Lonchura striata: one gene and its partner. The protein of the gene in region 1 interacts with the protein of each later gene in a biochemical or structural test. Links are inferred from orthologs where the notes say so. Each region holds a gene or a part of one and is shown on either strand. Other genes may lie near its edges.

Region 1 (8,183 bases):
TTTTTAAAGTTTCCACTGTTGCATGATGGCCAGATGAAACTAACTGAAACAGAGGATGCCATCAGTGAATTAAATGCTTTGTTCTCCAAATTCATTCTGATCCTATGCATTTCTACAGCATTCAAAAGGTGCAAAGTCAAACTGACTCAAAGGGGAAGAGACTAAATCCCCATAAACTTCCCCAAAACACAGCAAAGTGGCACTGGTAGATTGTTATGGCATTAAAGGCTGTCCTACTACAATGCAATTCTTGTCTCAATAACCAGAGGAATGTCCCAGACAGAGCTCACTGAAGTAGGCAGAACCCCCTGTCACTTCCTTCTGCTGAAAGGTTCCTTGCATCAATCACAATCACAGCTAACACATACCAAGCAGCATGAAGACCCACCACAGCATTAATTACCTGTGTTTTGACCTGTACAGGGTCAAAATTATTATTAATTTCCTTGTCAGGCCTACTTGGATAATTTTTCACATTGTCATACACCAGAACAGCTGCAGAAGTTACTCTTTTGATGTCACAACTGGGTTTGAAAAAACAATTAACACTTCTGCCACAGCAGGAATTTTGTACAGAACATTTTGTCAGCAGCTTCAAGGTCAGTTCCCTTGACAACTTTATAGCAACCTACAAGCTGGCAATCAGCCAGGGGCATTTGCCAACTAATTTCCTCTATAGCCTTGACTCTTCCAATTCTGTCAGTTAAAGTCATTGCTATGTTGAGTTTTCTTGTTGACTTTTTTTTTTAAGCAAATACCTCCCCATAAAAAAACCAATCCCTCCAACAAAAAAACCCACCAAAAGCAAAAAAACACCATATACCCAAAGAAAGCTGTTATGCTTTCTTGGAACTGATAGTAAATCATCACATAAACATTTAATTAAACTTGATAAAACAATTACTGATAGCTTATATTTTAAACTTAAGTTACATTATTTAAAACCCCTGGCTTCTTGCCTTTTGTTTGTGTATAAGGAACATCACAACCTTCTATTAATTCATGACTCCCAAAGTGCTACGTTGACAATATTGCTCAATGAACCATTAAATTAAACCTGCAAGTGAGTAAATTTGGTTACTTTTTCTCAGAAAGTAATTCAAAGTTTAATTTTTAAGACAAATCCTACAAGTTTTCCTACAAGTCCTACAAGTTTTAAGACAAATCCTACATGTCTGCAAGTTTTCTTTTTTTGGCGTTAATTTTATGAGGGTAACACAGCTAGCCCTCTTTCTAAAGACTGAGTAGGAGGTGGTTCTGCTTGTAACTGGAATAAAATATGTAACTATTAATATCAACCACTTAGAGGAGGATTCAGCTTTCCAAAGATCTGAGTACAGTTAAAATACAGTTCCATCAGTGCCAGCATCCATTACCTGGCTGTCCAACTGCATTCAGGCGTACCATGAGGTGTCTTTTGCTTGGGCAGTGCAAGTGAACATCAGACAGCACAGTGTCACTTCTAAACGTGGGGTTATCCATCTCCTTCTCTGCTAAATCTACCACAGGGTGCTGGTGAGAGGAACATCTGCAGTGCTCAAACAGCCACAAAGGGATTCCATTCTCTTCCATTTACAGGTATCCAGTAACAGCTTTGCTCACCAAGGGAAACTCAGGACATAGTTTTTGAGAAGGTGTGATCGTGCAAGCTCCACCATGCTCCAAGACAAGTTACTCATCAGGATACTCAACCTAAAACCAAACACAGGCAGCTTTTAGTGGCAGCCTGACACTGTCTGAACATTGCTCCAGAGGTATTTCAGAAGCTAAAAATCAGATTACACTGTTCAATAGAGTAGGAATGCTCCAAGGCTCTCTTTTACAGAATCCTCTGTTAGTAGTTCAGTGGCAGCCACTGCCTAATCAAAGTCTTCAAAGGGAATAAGGCCACTTCCTGTGTTGGCACTGACATCTTGAATGATTATGCTAAATTTGCTATTATCCAATTGTGCTTGAACAAGATCACTGAATGCTTCAGGCTGGAAGGGATCGCAGTGGCTCATCTGGTCCCACCTCCCTGCTCAGGCAGGGTCATTCTGGAGCACAGGATGGACTCCAGATGGTTCTGGAGTATCTCCAGTGAGGGAGACTACACACACTCTATTCTGTTCTAGTGCTCGGTCCCTGCACAGGAAGTTCTTCCTCATATTCAGGTGGAGCTTCCTGGGTATCAGTTCCTGCCCCATTGCTGGGCCCCAGGGAGCACAGCCTGGTCCCTGCTCTGAGCCCTCCTTCTAATGTTTATAAACAGTAAGAAGGCTCCTCTCAGTCATGTTTTCTCAAGTTCAGCCCTTGCTCCTAAGAATGATGCTCCAGACCCGTGATCAACTTAGTATAGCCCTACTCCCTGCTGGACCATCATACCTATCCACACTGACAACGCTCCAGGCTTTGGAAGAATTCTCTGTATCTGTGGCTGTGCAGTTCTGTTCACTTCTGCCAGCTCCAAACCTGCCCTGTCCCGGCGGGGTTCATTGCGGGAGCCTGGCAGAGGTGCGCGGGGAGCGCCCGCTCCTGCTGCGGGACCCGCCGGAGCCTCCGCGGGCACGGGCGGGACCCGCCTGTCCCCACGGCGGGACCCGCCTGTCCCCACGGTGGGACCCGCCCGTCCCCACGGTGGGACCCGCCCGTCCCCACGGTGGGACCCGCCCGTCCCCACGGTGGGACCCGCCTGTCCCGCGTCCCCACGGTGGGACCCGCCCGTCCCCACGGTGGGACCCGCCTCTCCCCACGGTGGGACCCGCCTGTCCCGCGTCCCCACGGCGGGACCCGCCCGTCCCCACGGTGGGACCCGCCCGTCCCGCGTCCCCACGGTGGGACCCGCCCGTCCCCACGGTGGGACCCGCCTCTCCCCACGGTGGGACCCGCCCGTCCCCACGGTGGGACCCGCCTGTCCCGCTTTTCCCCCGCTCTGGTCCCGCGTCCCACCGGCGGCTCTCCCCCTTTCCCCGCTCGGATCCCACCTCTCCCCCTTTCCCCAGCTCAGATCCCAGCTCTCTCACTTCTTCCCATTCAGATCCCTCCTCTCCCCTTTCCCCGCTCGGATCCCACCTTTCCCCTTTCCCCGTTCAGATCCCACGTCTCCCTTTTCCCCGTTCAGATCCCACTCTCCCCTTTCCCCGTTCAGATCCCACGTCTCCCTTTTCCCCGTTCAGATCCCACTCTCCCCTTTCCCCGTTCAGATCCCACTCTCCCCTTTCCCCGGTCAGACCCCACCTCTCCCCTTTCCCCGTTCAGGCCCCACCCTCCCCTGTCCCCGCTCGCACCTCTCCCGGTTCCTCCTGGTCCCGCCGGTCCCGCCGCTCGCTCCCTGCCGCGGTCGCTGCGGAGGTGGCGGCTCCTTCCGGCTCCTTCCGCTGACGCCGCTGCCCGGCGGCCCCCGCGGGCGCTGCGGGCGCTGGGTGCTCCCTGTGCTCGGGGCTCGCCTGCGTTTGGAGTTGCCCAGCGCCTGCGTTTGGAGTTACCCAGCGCTGAAGCCGCGGAAAGCCTGCCGGAGAGGCGGGCACGCCGCGCCGGCAGCGCAGTTCAGGCTGGCGCTGAAGCATCCGCAGGACTTGCTCGGAGTTTCAACGCGTGTTTCCTACTCGCGTTCTTTTATTAATTGTGTCTAGCATCACTTGCCCTGTCTCGGTTCATCTGTAATTCCAGGCAAAATCTACAAACGGCTTGAAAACAAAATGAGAAGACATCTGCGGAGGCAAATAGGCGTTTCTTCCTTAGTCCAGATAATGTCAGAATTCTAGTACCACTGTTAGATTAGCTGAAGCAACAGGTGTTCAGTTGTGTAGGGAATTGGGGGTTTAGTTGCTTAATTCTGAAGTTTTTATCTATGTAGTTTTTACTATGTGTAAACCAGATGAAATAAACAAGACTGAGTGGAAACATCATAACCAGAGTCTTTGAGAGGCTTTAACTACAGAGATTTACCTCAGAGTTAGACCACCAGATTTTAGTTTCTACGTTTTGAACCGTGGTCTCTTCGGCAGTCGTTTCCCAGCTGAGCTCGTCTCCAGGGCGAGCTGGCAGCTGGTCTGGCGCTGGGCTGTGTGGTCAGTGCAGAGGGGCAATGGTGTGGGACAGGACACCTCGGCAGCCGGACACTGCCAGGGACACCTGAACAGCCGGACACTGCCAGGGACACCTGAACAGCCGGACACTGCCCGGGACACCTCCACAGCCGGACACTGCCCGGGACACCTCCACAGCCGGACACTGCCAGGGACACCTGAACAGCCGGACACTGCCAGGAACACCTCCACAGCCGGACACTGCCAGGGACACCTCCACAGCCGGACACTGCCCGGGACACCTGAACAGCCGGACACTGCCCGGGACACCTCCACAGCCGGACACTGCCCGGGACACCTGAACAGCCGGACACTGCCCGGGACACCTGAACAGCCGGACACTGCCAGGGACACCTCGGCAGCCGGACACTGCCAGGGACACCTGAACAGCCGGACACTGCCCAGGACACCTCCACAGCCGGACACTGCCCGGGACACCTGAACAGCCGGACACTGCCCAGGACACCTGAACAGCCGGACACTGCCAGGGACACCTCCACAGCCGGACACTGCCCAGGACACTTCATCAGCCGGACACTGCCCGGGACACCTCGGCAGCCGGACACTGCCAGGGACACCTGAACAGCCGGACACTGCCCGGGACACCTGAACAGCCGGACACTGCCAGGGACACCTCCACAGCCGGACACTGCCCGGAACACCTGAACAGCCGGACACTGCCAGGGACACCTGAACAGTCGGACACTGCCAGGGACACCTCCACAGCCGGACACTGCCAGGGACACCTCCACAGCCGGACACTGCCCAGGACACTTCATCAGCCGGACACTGCCCGGGACACCTCCACAGCCGGACACTGCCAGGGACACCTGAACAGCCGGACACTGCCAGGGACACCTCCACAGCCAGACACTGCCCGGGACACCTCCACAGCCGGACACTGCCAGGGACACCTCCACAGCCAGACACTGCCAGGGACACCTGAACAGCCGGACACTGCCCGGGACACCTCCACAGCCGGACACTGCCAGGGACACCTGAACAGCCGGACACTGCCAGGAACACCTCCACAGCCGGACACTGCCCAGGACACTTCAGCAGCCGGACACTGCCCAGCCCTCTGTACAAAATCACTGACAGAGGTGCGCTCCAAACTCCCATCTGCGTTCTACTTCGCCTCCTCGGCAAGTCCGCCGTAGCTGTTGGAGCTGTTTTATCTTTCAGCAGGAGGATCTTGTTCAAAAGCGGCCATTTACATATTGATTACCTCATTAGCATATGATGCTAATGTCAACTGCTATAGATGATCCTTGTATTTTTCATGAGTACTAGGAAGTATTAGTCAATGCATAAAAAACCCTTGGAATATAATTTATAGTCTGTATCTATTTCTAGATGTCTCCTTATCATCTGCCTCCCTCAACAAAAGCTAATAATTATTAAAATAATTATTAAAACAATTAAATAATCTTTCCCTATTTTTACAGTCAAGAGTTTTGAGTGGCAATTAAATGGAAAACACAGAAGCCATTCAGCTATCTCATTGCAATTACTGTGGGGAATTCTATTGGATGACTATCTGACAAAAATGCTTTGGAGATTTGTTCCCTTTTAACCGTCTCCTGTGAAAGAGCAGAACATTATTTTACTTCCCTTGGTGATACACTGCCACATAAATTATTACTGCGGTGTCTCTCTCTTCTGGCATGTTCCTCACTGCTATGGAGCACTAAGCAGGCAAAGCAGATTACATTTGTCATGAAATCTCACCAGTCTGCAGCAAGAGGCACTTACTGGTACACAGGTTTAGCATAATTAGAGAAGTAGCTAAAAAGCTGTGTTACATGGGCACTTATAAACACAAAGGTACATTATGTGAGAAATGGATTTCTTAAAAAGCAATGCTGCTGCAATTGCTTTTCTAAGAATTGCTGATACTTCGTTTCACATATGCATAATATTTGGGCAAAGCAGGAATATCTTGTGGCTGCAGAAGATGTGCAGCTACAGGTGTTACAACATATAACATAACATAACATAACATAACAAACATAACATAACATAACAAACATAACATAACATAACACAACACAACATAACATAACATAACATAACATAACATAACATAACATAACATAACATAACATAACACAACATAACACAACATAACATGATGAAAATTGTTTAGGGACATGCAGTTTCTGTACTACACACAAGAGGGCTTGGGCAGTAAATTCCTGTACCTCTTTTAAGGATGGACCTCAGTTACATTCCTGATTTCCTCACAGCCATGTGACCTAGGAATTTGTTTAAATTTAGCTTACATGCCAGACAACTTTACCAAAGTTTAATTGCTTGTTTGGAATGATGAATTGGGCCAGTTTCATCCATTGATCAAGTACTAAGAAGCTGTACTGGTTACTTCAGGTATGTCCCTCCTGCAACCCCCTTTGAATTCAATGGGTTTTTTTGGCAGATCAGGTAATATTGAGTAAGAGTCGGGACCTTGTATATCTTGTAGTCTCTCATCAGAGATAAATTGTGACTAGTCAGCCCTTTTTTAAATTCATTGTAGGTTGTGACTCTTCAAAACTGAATGGGTACAAGTGCATGATGAAAAGATTAAATTTGTGAAGGAATAGCCAAGCCTCATATCAGCCAATCAGTAGTTATTAATTTCCAAGGGCAGAAAATCTGAAAATTATAATAATGTATATTGTCTAACAGCTTTTCTCTTTTGAGCCACAGGGGAAGTAGTTGTGGTAAGTTTAAAAGAACAATAAACTCTAGAATCCCGTTAGCTTTACTGGAAGAATGAATGGTAAAACTGTTTGAATTTAATTCTTCACTCAACAAAAATAACACCATCAACAATAACAAAACCAAACCAAACCAACAAAACAAACAAACAAAAAAAAAAAAAAAAAAACAAAAAAAAACAGGAGAAAAAAAAAAAAGTGATATTTCCTGGAAAAGGATTGTGAATGAAATGAGGTGTGTTGATTGTGCTTGTCACCATGGCAGGAATTAATTACAGTCATTGGTGCACACTTGCACTGACTGGCTTTCCTACAGTCAGGGGGGTAAACATCGTGGGAATCCCTCCCTTCTTCAGTTTATAAATAATCTACTTCTAGTAATGCAGTCACCTCTTCACAAATACAGACAGGGCAGAGGAAATGAAATAAAGAAGCACTGGGGAAATCTAAGGAATGCAGTGGGATTGTGCTGCACCTGAACAGCACAGGTTCAGAACAGTTGAGAAGGAACTGCCCTAGAGATGCATTTTACCTGGGAAAAGTCCTGGGAAGCAAAGCTGGTGATTCCCAGAGCACCACGAAACCTCCAGCACCCAGCCAACCCTGCGAGCAGAACAGAGAGGGTAAAAGTTGCTTACAGAAGCTTTGCCATGCTCAGGCTTGAGGAGACTGATAATCTTGCTGCATCACACTCTGGGGACTAATAATTGACTGCAACTTTGAGAGCATATTCTGAATTATCTTTGTTATTCTGCACAGCAGATTGACTTTGGCAGACGCAACCAACACCTAGTCTATGCAGTGTTCTTTCTCTATAAAGCTAAGCCTAGATTAAAATTTTGACTCTTTTATGGTAAAGATCCTAATTTAACATTGAAAGACCTCAGGAAATTGAAACTGCGTCTCTAGAGAAACTAATTTGCACTACTGCTTTTTCCTTTCATTATAATCATTTCCCAATGAATACATGAAATTGTTTTGTTAACTATGTTCTTAGTTTTCTGACTTTGCAGGAATTATTTGTTCCCTAGCATGGCAATGAATGCCTAAAAAAATTACAGTGATGTGGGAATTAAATCTTTATGTAGTGTTGATTTACTCTTGATATAAATGCTCGTCAGCAGTCTGGTCAAAAAAGGACCTGGGGTTAGCAGGCTCTAACTTAGGTTTACTGCAAAGTCGGTCTAGACAGAGTCTACAAGGACCTCTGCACATCTTGATGGCTAAAATTGATTATTTAATAATGTTTCTAAAAATAAGCATATTTACAAACTTTGTGGGCCCCAAGATTAGAACAAAACCTCTCCAAGACACGGAGTATCACTGATGAGCATCTCATATCTGATTAACAGCTTGTATCCAGCTGGGTTAAATGTTCCTGCAGTTTTATAGCCTT
Region 2 (8,337 bases), on another chromosome or scaffold:
ATTGCACATCACATCAGTTTCAATCACCAGTATCCTTCCAAGGAATACTCATATATTCTCTACTTGCTCCATGACAGGTGGTATTGAACTACTGTTTAAGTTCCCCCACCTTTAAATTGCACTGCACTAATTATATTTCCTGAATGAGTAAGTAAAGATTTATAAGAATTCAGGAAATTCTCAGAGCAGCCACATGAGAGGAGCATAGAGAATATTTAGCCATTGTAAGATTAGTTTAGTATTTCATATGCCTTTTAAATAATCTGTTATTTCACTTCCAGTCCTAGGCTTGTTTCTCAACAGCAATCCCTCTTTCCAGAGTCTACATACAGCTCACATTTGAAACAGAATCTCAATTGTACTGGCTAAAAAAAGCCACTCAAAGTGGAATTAAGACAGGAAATAGCTGATTTTTGAAGGAAAGGATTACAGAAAGGGAGGTCAACACTTTGTTGCTGAACAACTGAAGTCCTGGAGAAGCCAGGGAGCAGCTTACAAGCATTCTTGCTAGCGTTGTCCATGGCAGTCATCCTGGCGCTCTGCTCGCTGGTGGTGGATTCTTTCAGGGAGTAGTACAGAATGTTTGCTAGCGTGAACTCCTGGTAGTTTCTCAGCACGTCAGCATCAAGATCATCATAGATACTTAGGCTTTCTGCAAACCATGGAGGAGCAAACTTAGACACATCCAAGATTTGCTACTTCCAGCAAAATACAATGACACAGAGAAGATTACTTGTCTGGACTGTTTCAGTACTTAAGGCAGTACAGAGAGACTCCCTGAACATATTATGTGTACCTTCAGAATCTCTATGCTACTTATAATTCTGTTAACTGTTTTATGTGTTTTAGTTCAATTTAATATTAGGAAAGTCAGACCAAAGCAAAATACATTATTACCATATTATGTTTAACTTTCCCTTACAATGCTGCAGAAACATTCTCGGAGAGCACCTTTCTGAGCCAGCCTTGGACTGATCTTGGCCAAGACAAAACTATCTGTTAAACTATGATACAAGCACCATAATAAGATGTTTTAAAATACCATAGTCCCATTTTCAGAGTACTTTTCTTGTGATTTATCACTGCATGTAACTGGTGGTTTCTAGCTCCCTACTTACCAGAGCCAGCCACCGTTTCAAAGGAGAAGATTGGTTTCTCATCAGTCTTGTAAGAGATGACAGACCTGTACAAAAAGAGCAAAACAGGTTCTTCAGTTCAACTGAACTGACTCTAAACAGAATGGTTCAAATCAAATTAGAATAGACAACTTCTGGCTTTGCAATGCCACAAGGTTTTGTGATAACACTGATGAAAAGATCTTGGATACCACATGGATATAATGATGTGCTGACTGTAAATGTTACAGTGTTCACTACACACAAGTCAAAAAGGGAGTTCTAACCACAGCTACTAGAAAAAACAGCCCAGTTCTTGACACACAACAAAATCAAGAAGTGAATATGCCATATATTCCCTTTCATATTCCCTTTCAGTTTTCATACAACTTCATCAGGCCAATATACTCTTGGAAGCATTCTGCCAAGTATTTTTCCAGTGAAGTTTAGTTCAACCTTACCTGAACCGATTGTAGATGACAGAGCCTTCATCAAATTCATACCCAGAGTTTAACAGCTCTAAAGCAATGGCTGAAGCATCTCCAAAGCTTGGAGGTCTCCGTCCCACCTCTTTGAATGTCAGCAGGAAATAGTTGCCATGTGTCCTGCAGCAACACAAAACTGTGCTAGAACCAAGTGGATGCTCTAAAACACGAGCAGCAAGACTTACTAGAAATAACTGTTTGTAATTTAGGAGTGTTCAGAATGAAACATTTTACTGAATTAGAGTCTGAAAGAAACTTTGCCTTTAGTTAAACTACAATAGCTTCACAATACACACATGTGTAACAGCATCAGTTGCCAGCTTTTATTTCAAGAATATAATAGTGCTGTGCAGCAGTCTCTCAAATTGTGACATTATCAAAACCACTTTTAAAGTATTTGCAGTTTTTTTTTTACAGGAACTTGAATTTAACACAGTTCCCTTAAATGCAATTTCCTGCCAATGGCACACAATCCTACAGTCTTGAAATTTCTACCAGAGACAACAAAACTCTAAACTAAACTTTTGGACCCCATCCTTTTTACCTTTGAAGCAGGCCTCTGATCTTGTCACCTACTCCAACCACCATAACCTCCTTCCCTGCATTTGAGAGGTTGGTAATTTCATTCTTCAAGGTTTTAGCAATAGATGTATGGATAGCACCACACAGGCCTCGGTCAGAGGACACACCAATAAGGAGGTGCTTCTTCTTGTCCTCAGGTGGCTTTATTTCTGCTTTCTCATACAGAGCTGAAAAAAAAAAAAAGATCATAACATTTTTCAAGGGTGCCAAAAAAGCTAGTAAGTAATAAAAAATGCTCTGAAATATTCTAACTAAAACCAATACCAAAGGGGCTCCAGATCTCAGCCAGATTAATTTTATCTCCTTTGCAATTGTTCCAAGTTTGCACACGGTCAGACCAGAAGTGAGGAATAAACAATTCAGAGCCAGTCACAGCTCTGATCAGATGTCACTCAGTGAAGTTCACTGTGCAAATTCTTTTGGAAACAGACTACTGGAAGGTTAAAAAGCCTTGGCATTTTATCACCACTATGAAAACCTCCTCTTCTAATCCCCCATCACTAAGTGCAAGATCTTTCTCTCACACAGAGCTCCTGTTCCATAGACCCTCGCAGGCTTCAGCTCCCTCTCAGCTCTTGCGTATTTGGCTGCAGAAACCATCTTCATGGACTTGGTGATCTTCTGGATGTTCTTGATGGACTTCAAACGCCTGGTGACTGCAAGGTTAAGAGTTGAAGGTCATGGGCTGTACTGGGCACTGTGACTCAAGCCCAAACAACAAAATGCCAGCAAGAGCCATAAAAAAATATTTTGCCATGTTCCTCAAAGAAGAAGAAATAAATAAACAAACATCACAGAAATAAACCTCATGAAAGACCTTGGTACTTGCAGTAAGACTAAGAATGTAGCTAACACAGATTCATCTTTACAATAGAGATGTTATCTCCTTCAGATATAACATTCATTTAGTATTTATCCCAACATGAAGTCTATTTACTATTCTCTTTGCTTCCACCTCTACCTGTTTCACAAATATATTATTTGAGGTATAATGTCATCTTTCACAGATGACAAGCAGAGGAAACAAACAAACAAAAAAGTCCCCATAGTGTGAAGACAGAATAAATTTCCTCCTCTGTTTAGACTGTGGTAAAATGACATTTATAAAAACACTAATGCAAAAAATAACCAAAACAGGTATCCCATTGACAAGCACAATTCCAAGGCAATATCCCTATATAAGAACTATGAGGGATGGCTTAAGGAAGCATTATCACACTGAAACCATTCAGTCAATCCTTTTTCCCCCCAAATGCTGCACAAAAGCACAAGGAAATAAACATAAGATAAACTAAGTTAACTCTTATAGGTGAGCAGAAATCTGGTTTAGCACATACAGTAAAAATATTTTTAAAATCTATTTGAGTAAAACTATAAAAAGACATTTAAATTACTGCCAAAGCCACTTCAAGCAACTCCTTTTCTGAAGGACACTTGTTTAATGTGATTAGCACTGCAGGCCTATATATCATTGTTATACATCACAATCATACCCAACAGAGGCTAAACAGTATGCTTTAACATATGGTTTTCAACATATGGCTTTCCTGCAACATTTTGCCTCTCTCAAGAGCAGTTAAACCCTTTACTTACTGTCTTTTAGCGTTGCCATATTCCTGACTTGGCCCCTGAAAAGGAATGCAGGAGAAATTAGGATAATTCACTAGCTCTCCAGCAAACCAACACCTGCCAAGGGCAAGTCCCTTTCAGGGTGATGTTGCTGTTTCTTACAAAACGTGTGGCAGAGAGAAGCCACTCTTACCTGTGGCTTGCATGCACACCTTCATCCTTCCCTACCTTATATAATTTCACAGAATCAATTAGGTTGGAAAAGACCTCTGAGACCATCAAGTCCAACCTATGACTGAACACCACCTTATCTAAGTGGTGCCCTAACTAAGCCACGGGCACTGAGTGCTACATCCAGTCTTTCTGCAGATACCTCCAGGGACAGGGACTCCACAACCTCCCTGGGCAGCTCATTCCAATGCCTAACCACGACTTCTGTGAAGAAACTGTGAAGAAACAACCTAAACCTGTGTTGTCATGTCGCTGAGAGGAGGCCAACTCCCACCTGACTGCGCTGCGCTGTCAGGGAGCTGTAGAGTGATAAGGTCACCCCGAGCCTCCTTTTCTCCAGGCTGAGCTCTTCCAGCTGCTCTTCAGAGGACTTGGGCTCCAGACCCTTCCCAGTTCCCCTTCTCCGGACTCGCCCCTGCACCTCCGAGTCCTCCCTGAGCTGAGGGGCCCCGAAGCGGCCCCAGGACTCGGCAGCGCCGAGCACAGAGAAAGGTTTAACGCCTCGGCTAAGGGCACGGGGCAAACGAGGGCATTAGAAGGGCAAATTAGAAAGAAATATTTTTAAACAAAGCTTCGTGCAATGCAATTCATTTCTAAAGGCTATTAAAACGAAGCAGAGGAGGCCAGAGCAGGGTCTCCTGCCATGTATAAACTTGTCCCTTTAACCCTTGCCTGTCCCATTCTCCCACCCACCGAGGACGGAGCCTCCCTCCCTGCGGGTCCCCGCTGCCCTCATCTCCCGGCACCGGCTCCGCCACCTCCCCTCAGAGCCCACAGCCCCTGACGGGCCGCCCGCGGCCGCGACCCCGCCGCCCCCAGGCGCCGCACGGCCAAGGGAAGCCATCCCCCCCTCACCCCGCAGAGCCGCCCCGGCCATCGGGACGCGTTCCCCCGTGCCCAGAGCGCCCGTCCCAGCCCGTGCCGGTACCATTGCGGCTGGACCAGCGCGACCGCGCCGCCCCGGGCGAACATGGCGGCGCCTCCACCACAGCCCCGCTGAAGGTCAGCGCGCCCGCAGCGCGCCTGCGCGGCCCCGCCGGGATCCGCTTCCAGGGCGCCGCCGCCATTTCCGGAGGGGGCGGGAGCCGGACCGGGACCGGGACCGGGAACAGAACCAGGACCAGGACCTGACCGGCGTCATGGGGAAGTCGGATTTCCTCAGCCCCAAGGCCATCGCCAACCGCATCAAGTCGAAGGGGCTGCAGAAGCTGCGCTGGTACTGCCAGATGTGCCAGAAACAGTGCCGTGATGAGGTAACTGCGGGCGCTGGGGGGGTCCCCGCTCCTTCGGGCGGCTCCGGTCCCCGTCTAAGGAAGGAGTCCCGGTTCTCCTGGGGTCAGCTCTTGTGGCAGCTCCGATCTCATGGAATGGCTTGGTTTGGGAGGACCTTAAAGCTCATCCACTTCCAACCCCCTGCCATGTGCAGGGACACCTTCCGCTGTCCCAGGATGCTCCAAGCCCTGTCCAGCCTGGCCTTGGACACTTCCAGGGATGAAGCAGCCACAGCTGCCCTGGGCACCCTGTGCCAGGGCCTCGCCACCCTCCGAGGGAAGAATTTCTTCCCAATATCCCATCTAGCCCTGCCCCCTATCAGTCTGAAGCCCTTGTCCCTCGTTCTGTCAATCTCCCTTGTAAATGTCCCCAGTGCTATCGAGGGGAACATTGTGGGAGCTGCGATCATACTTGTAGGAGTTTATTTGTAGTAGTTTATTTGTAGGATTTTTAGTAATCTCTTCATCTGTGAGTGTTGCAAAATGAGACGAAGACAAGCCAAGTATTTATTTCTGCTTTATAGAATGGCTTCAAATGTCACTGCATGTCTGAGTCTCACCAGAGGCAGTTGCTGCTGGCTTCTGAAAATCCTCAGCAATTCATGGATTATTTCTCTGAGTAAGTTTTCTGTATATTCTTACCCAGATCTTCATGCCTGTGTCAGGTTTGCACAGCCATACCCCTAAGATCCAATAATGCCCCATTGAAGACACTTTATTGTGATACATGTTAGTGTCAGGTCTTCTTGTAATTGAAAATTACAATGCCACGTTTAAACTTTAGATAAGAGATTTCATGATTTTATTCAGTTTTGTCTCATGTTGTAATCCTGTTTAAAGTTGCTCTGTGTTAAAAATACATCACTTTTCTGTCCCTGCTGAATGACTGCCACACACACACAAGCTAAAAGAGCCATAACAATGAAAGAGCAAGTCAGGGGAGGGACTGATATGCCCCAGCTTCTCCCAGGCCTTTGTCCAGCTGACTTACGTGACAGCTGGGATGACTGGAACTGTCCTCAGCACGAGTTTGAAGTGAGGTTTTATGCTGCAGCCCTGGGGAATTAGCAGGGAGATGAGTGATCCATCTGCTCCATCCACTCCTCTGCCCTTTGTCCTGCCCTCTGCTCTGTGTCTGTCAGCCTGGGAAGACACCTGGTAACCAAACACCAGCAATTAGTGGGAAGTGTTGAGATTCCTTTGCTCCATTTTATGCCTTTGAGAGGCTGTTACTGTCTTGTACATTTGAGGTGTGTGCATGTATCATATTGTGTTTCATCCTGTGTTTGATCCTGGTCTGCTGCAAAAGGGAAATGTGTCTGAATATTGTCACACTCAGCTCAAAAGAGTAATGAGATGTTTAATTCTTAATGACAGCAGAAAATTGCTTCTTAGTTGTTAAAGCTTACTAAAGATATTTTTTTTTTTATTTCCTTAGGGAATTCCGAAATGATTTCCTAGAATTGCTCAGAAGGCGATTTGGTAAATATTTTGCTGTTTTTTTGTTTTTCTTAGTGTCTTTTGTTGGTTCAGTGCAAGCTACATAATAGTAATAATAATTCTGTATTTTAGGAACAAAGAGAGTCCACAATAATATTGTGTACAATGAATACATCAGCCATCGAGAACACATCCACATGAATGCCACACAGTGGGAGACACTGACTGATTTTACAAAATGGCTGGGGAGAGAAGGTAGGTGTACCTGCTCAGGGAAGTCTTAAAATTATTGGGTAATTGAATTCTTGGTAATTGATCAGTAAATATGTTAGTTCTTTTTTCTTTCTTCCCCTCTCCTCCTGTATATACAAGAAAAGATTTCCAAACATATTTCTGTGCTAACCATTAGGAGTTTGCTTGTGGAAAATGTGAGACGTCTGGGATGAGTACATCACTTGTGAGCTTTTCTTGCTTTCATCTGCTGGTCTGTATTTACTGGATACACTGCTAAATTCTGAATCAACTGCTAACAGTTGCCATTTAAAAATTACAGATTATTTCCATGTCTGAGGTGACAAGAAGCAAGCAGTCACTTTAATTCCTGGCCTAGTGGAAGGGTTAGAGCTGGAGATCTGCAGTTCTGTGTTTAGTGGGAGGAAGAGAGATTTAATGGCACTGTGGTGTGACAGAAAGTTTACTTTGGCTCTGGATGCCCTTGCTCTTCAGGATACATCCAGCAGTTGCAGAGTTTGGAAAGTCTCTTGCCAGAGTTGGTAACAATAGCACAGTACTGCAATATTTCCTTTAGTATGGTACTGTGAGTGCATATCATTTATACATGCTAGATTTCTGTCTTCTTCCTTGTTAAAACAGTGGGAAGGAAACATTTTCTTCAATAAGGAAAGTCTTGTAAAACACTTCATGCCCTTTGTGATGTACACTGGCCTGTGTCCAAACACATCTGGGTAGCTGAGGGCAGAAACACGTGGTACAGATAATTCAAAGTCAGTTTTAGCAGCCCACTTGTCTCTGGTGAAGTATCTGCATTGCTACAGTGAACATGGACTAAAAATGATCTTGATATTGTTAATTTTACTTTGTTTTTGCTTGACCTTTTAGGTCTTTGCAAGGTTGATGAGACTCCTAAAGGCTGGTACATTCAGTACATTGACAGGGACCCAGAGACCATTCGCAGGCAGCAAGAACAAGAGAGGAAGAAGAAACAGGACCTTGATGACGAGGAAAAAACTGCTAAATTCATTGAGCAACAAGTTAGAAGAGGTTTGGAGGGGAAAGAACTGGTGAGAAAAATTGCACTCTGTGTGAACCTTCAGCTCAAAGCTCTTGTGGTTAAGTCAGTGGGGAGTTTGATGCTCCTGGAAGCCTTGCACTGGTATTTCCTTTGCTTCCTAACTTGGATTACATTGTACCCAGCTTGCAGTAGTAGTAAAGAAGAAATAATTACTGCTCTTCTAGTGATTAGTGATTTAAAAATCACTCTAGAATTTACAAAGCAGGAGCAAATAATCCATTAAGCTGCATGATGTCTTAATTTGTGGTATTTCACAGCTATGTAGGGCTGCAGATAACAAGTACCTGGTGCATTGAGGAGGCTGAGATAAATAACCAGGGGGATCTGGCATA

The links.
Region 2: of the proteins of METTL22 (region 1) and KIN, one has a biochemical effect on the other in vitro, tested with the Homo sapiens proteins (2 studies listed by BioGRID). The link is inferred for Lonchura striata from reciprocal best matches to the Homo sapiens genes METTL22 and KIN.

What each region holds. Positions count from the first base shown.
Region 1 is NC_134618.1:6,647,497-6,655,679, reverse strand, and holds the start of METTL22 (methyltransferase-like protein 22), read right to left. Parts: upstream 3,408-8,183; 5' UTR 3,267-3,407; intron 2,466-3,266; exon of another isoform or gene 2,365-2,465; intron 1,693-2,364; 5' UTR 1,573-1,692; coding exon 1,377-1,572; intron 1-1,376. UniProt on the Homo sapiens protein: Protein N-lysine methyltransferase. Trimethylates KIN at Lys-135 (in vitro).
Region 2 is NC_134607.1:68,974,465-68,982,801, forward strand, and holds the start of KIN (DNA/RNA-binding protein KIN17), read left to right. Parts: upstream 1-5,049; 5' UTR 5,050-5,121; coding exon 5,122-5,235; intron 5,236-5,777; coding exon 5,778-5,872; intron 5,873-6,691; coding exon 6,692-6,735; intron 6,736-6,825; coding exon 6,826-6,948; intron 6,949-7,812; coding exon 7,813-7,994; intron 7,995-8,337. Other genes in the region: ATP5F1C (ATP synthase F(1) complex subunit gamma, mitochondrial), read right to left, coding at 497-652, 1,119-1,183, 1,577-1,720, 2,145-2,349, 2,707-2,838, 3,776-3,810, 4,911-4,954. UniProt on the Homo sapiens protein: Involved in DNA replication and the cellular response to DNA damage. May participate in DNA replication factories and create a bridge between DNA replication and repair mediated by high molecular weight complexes.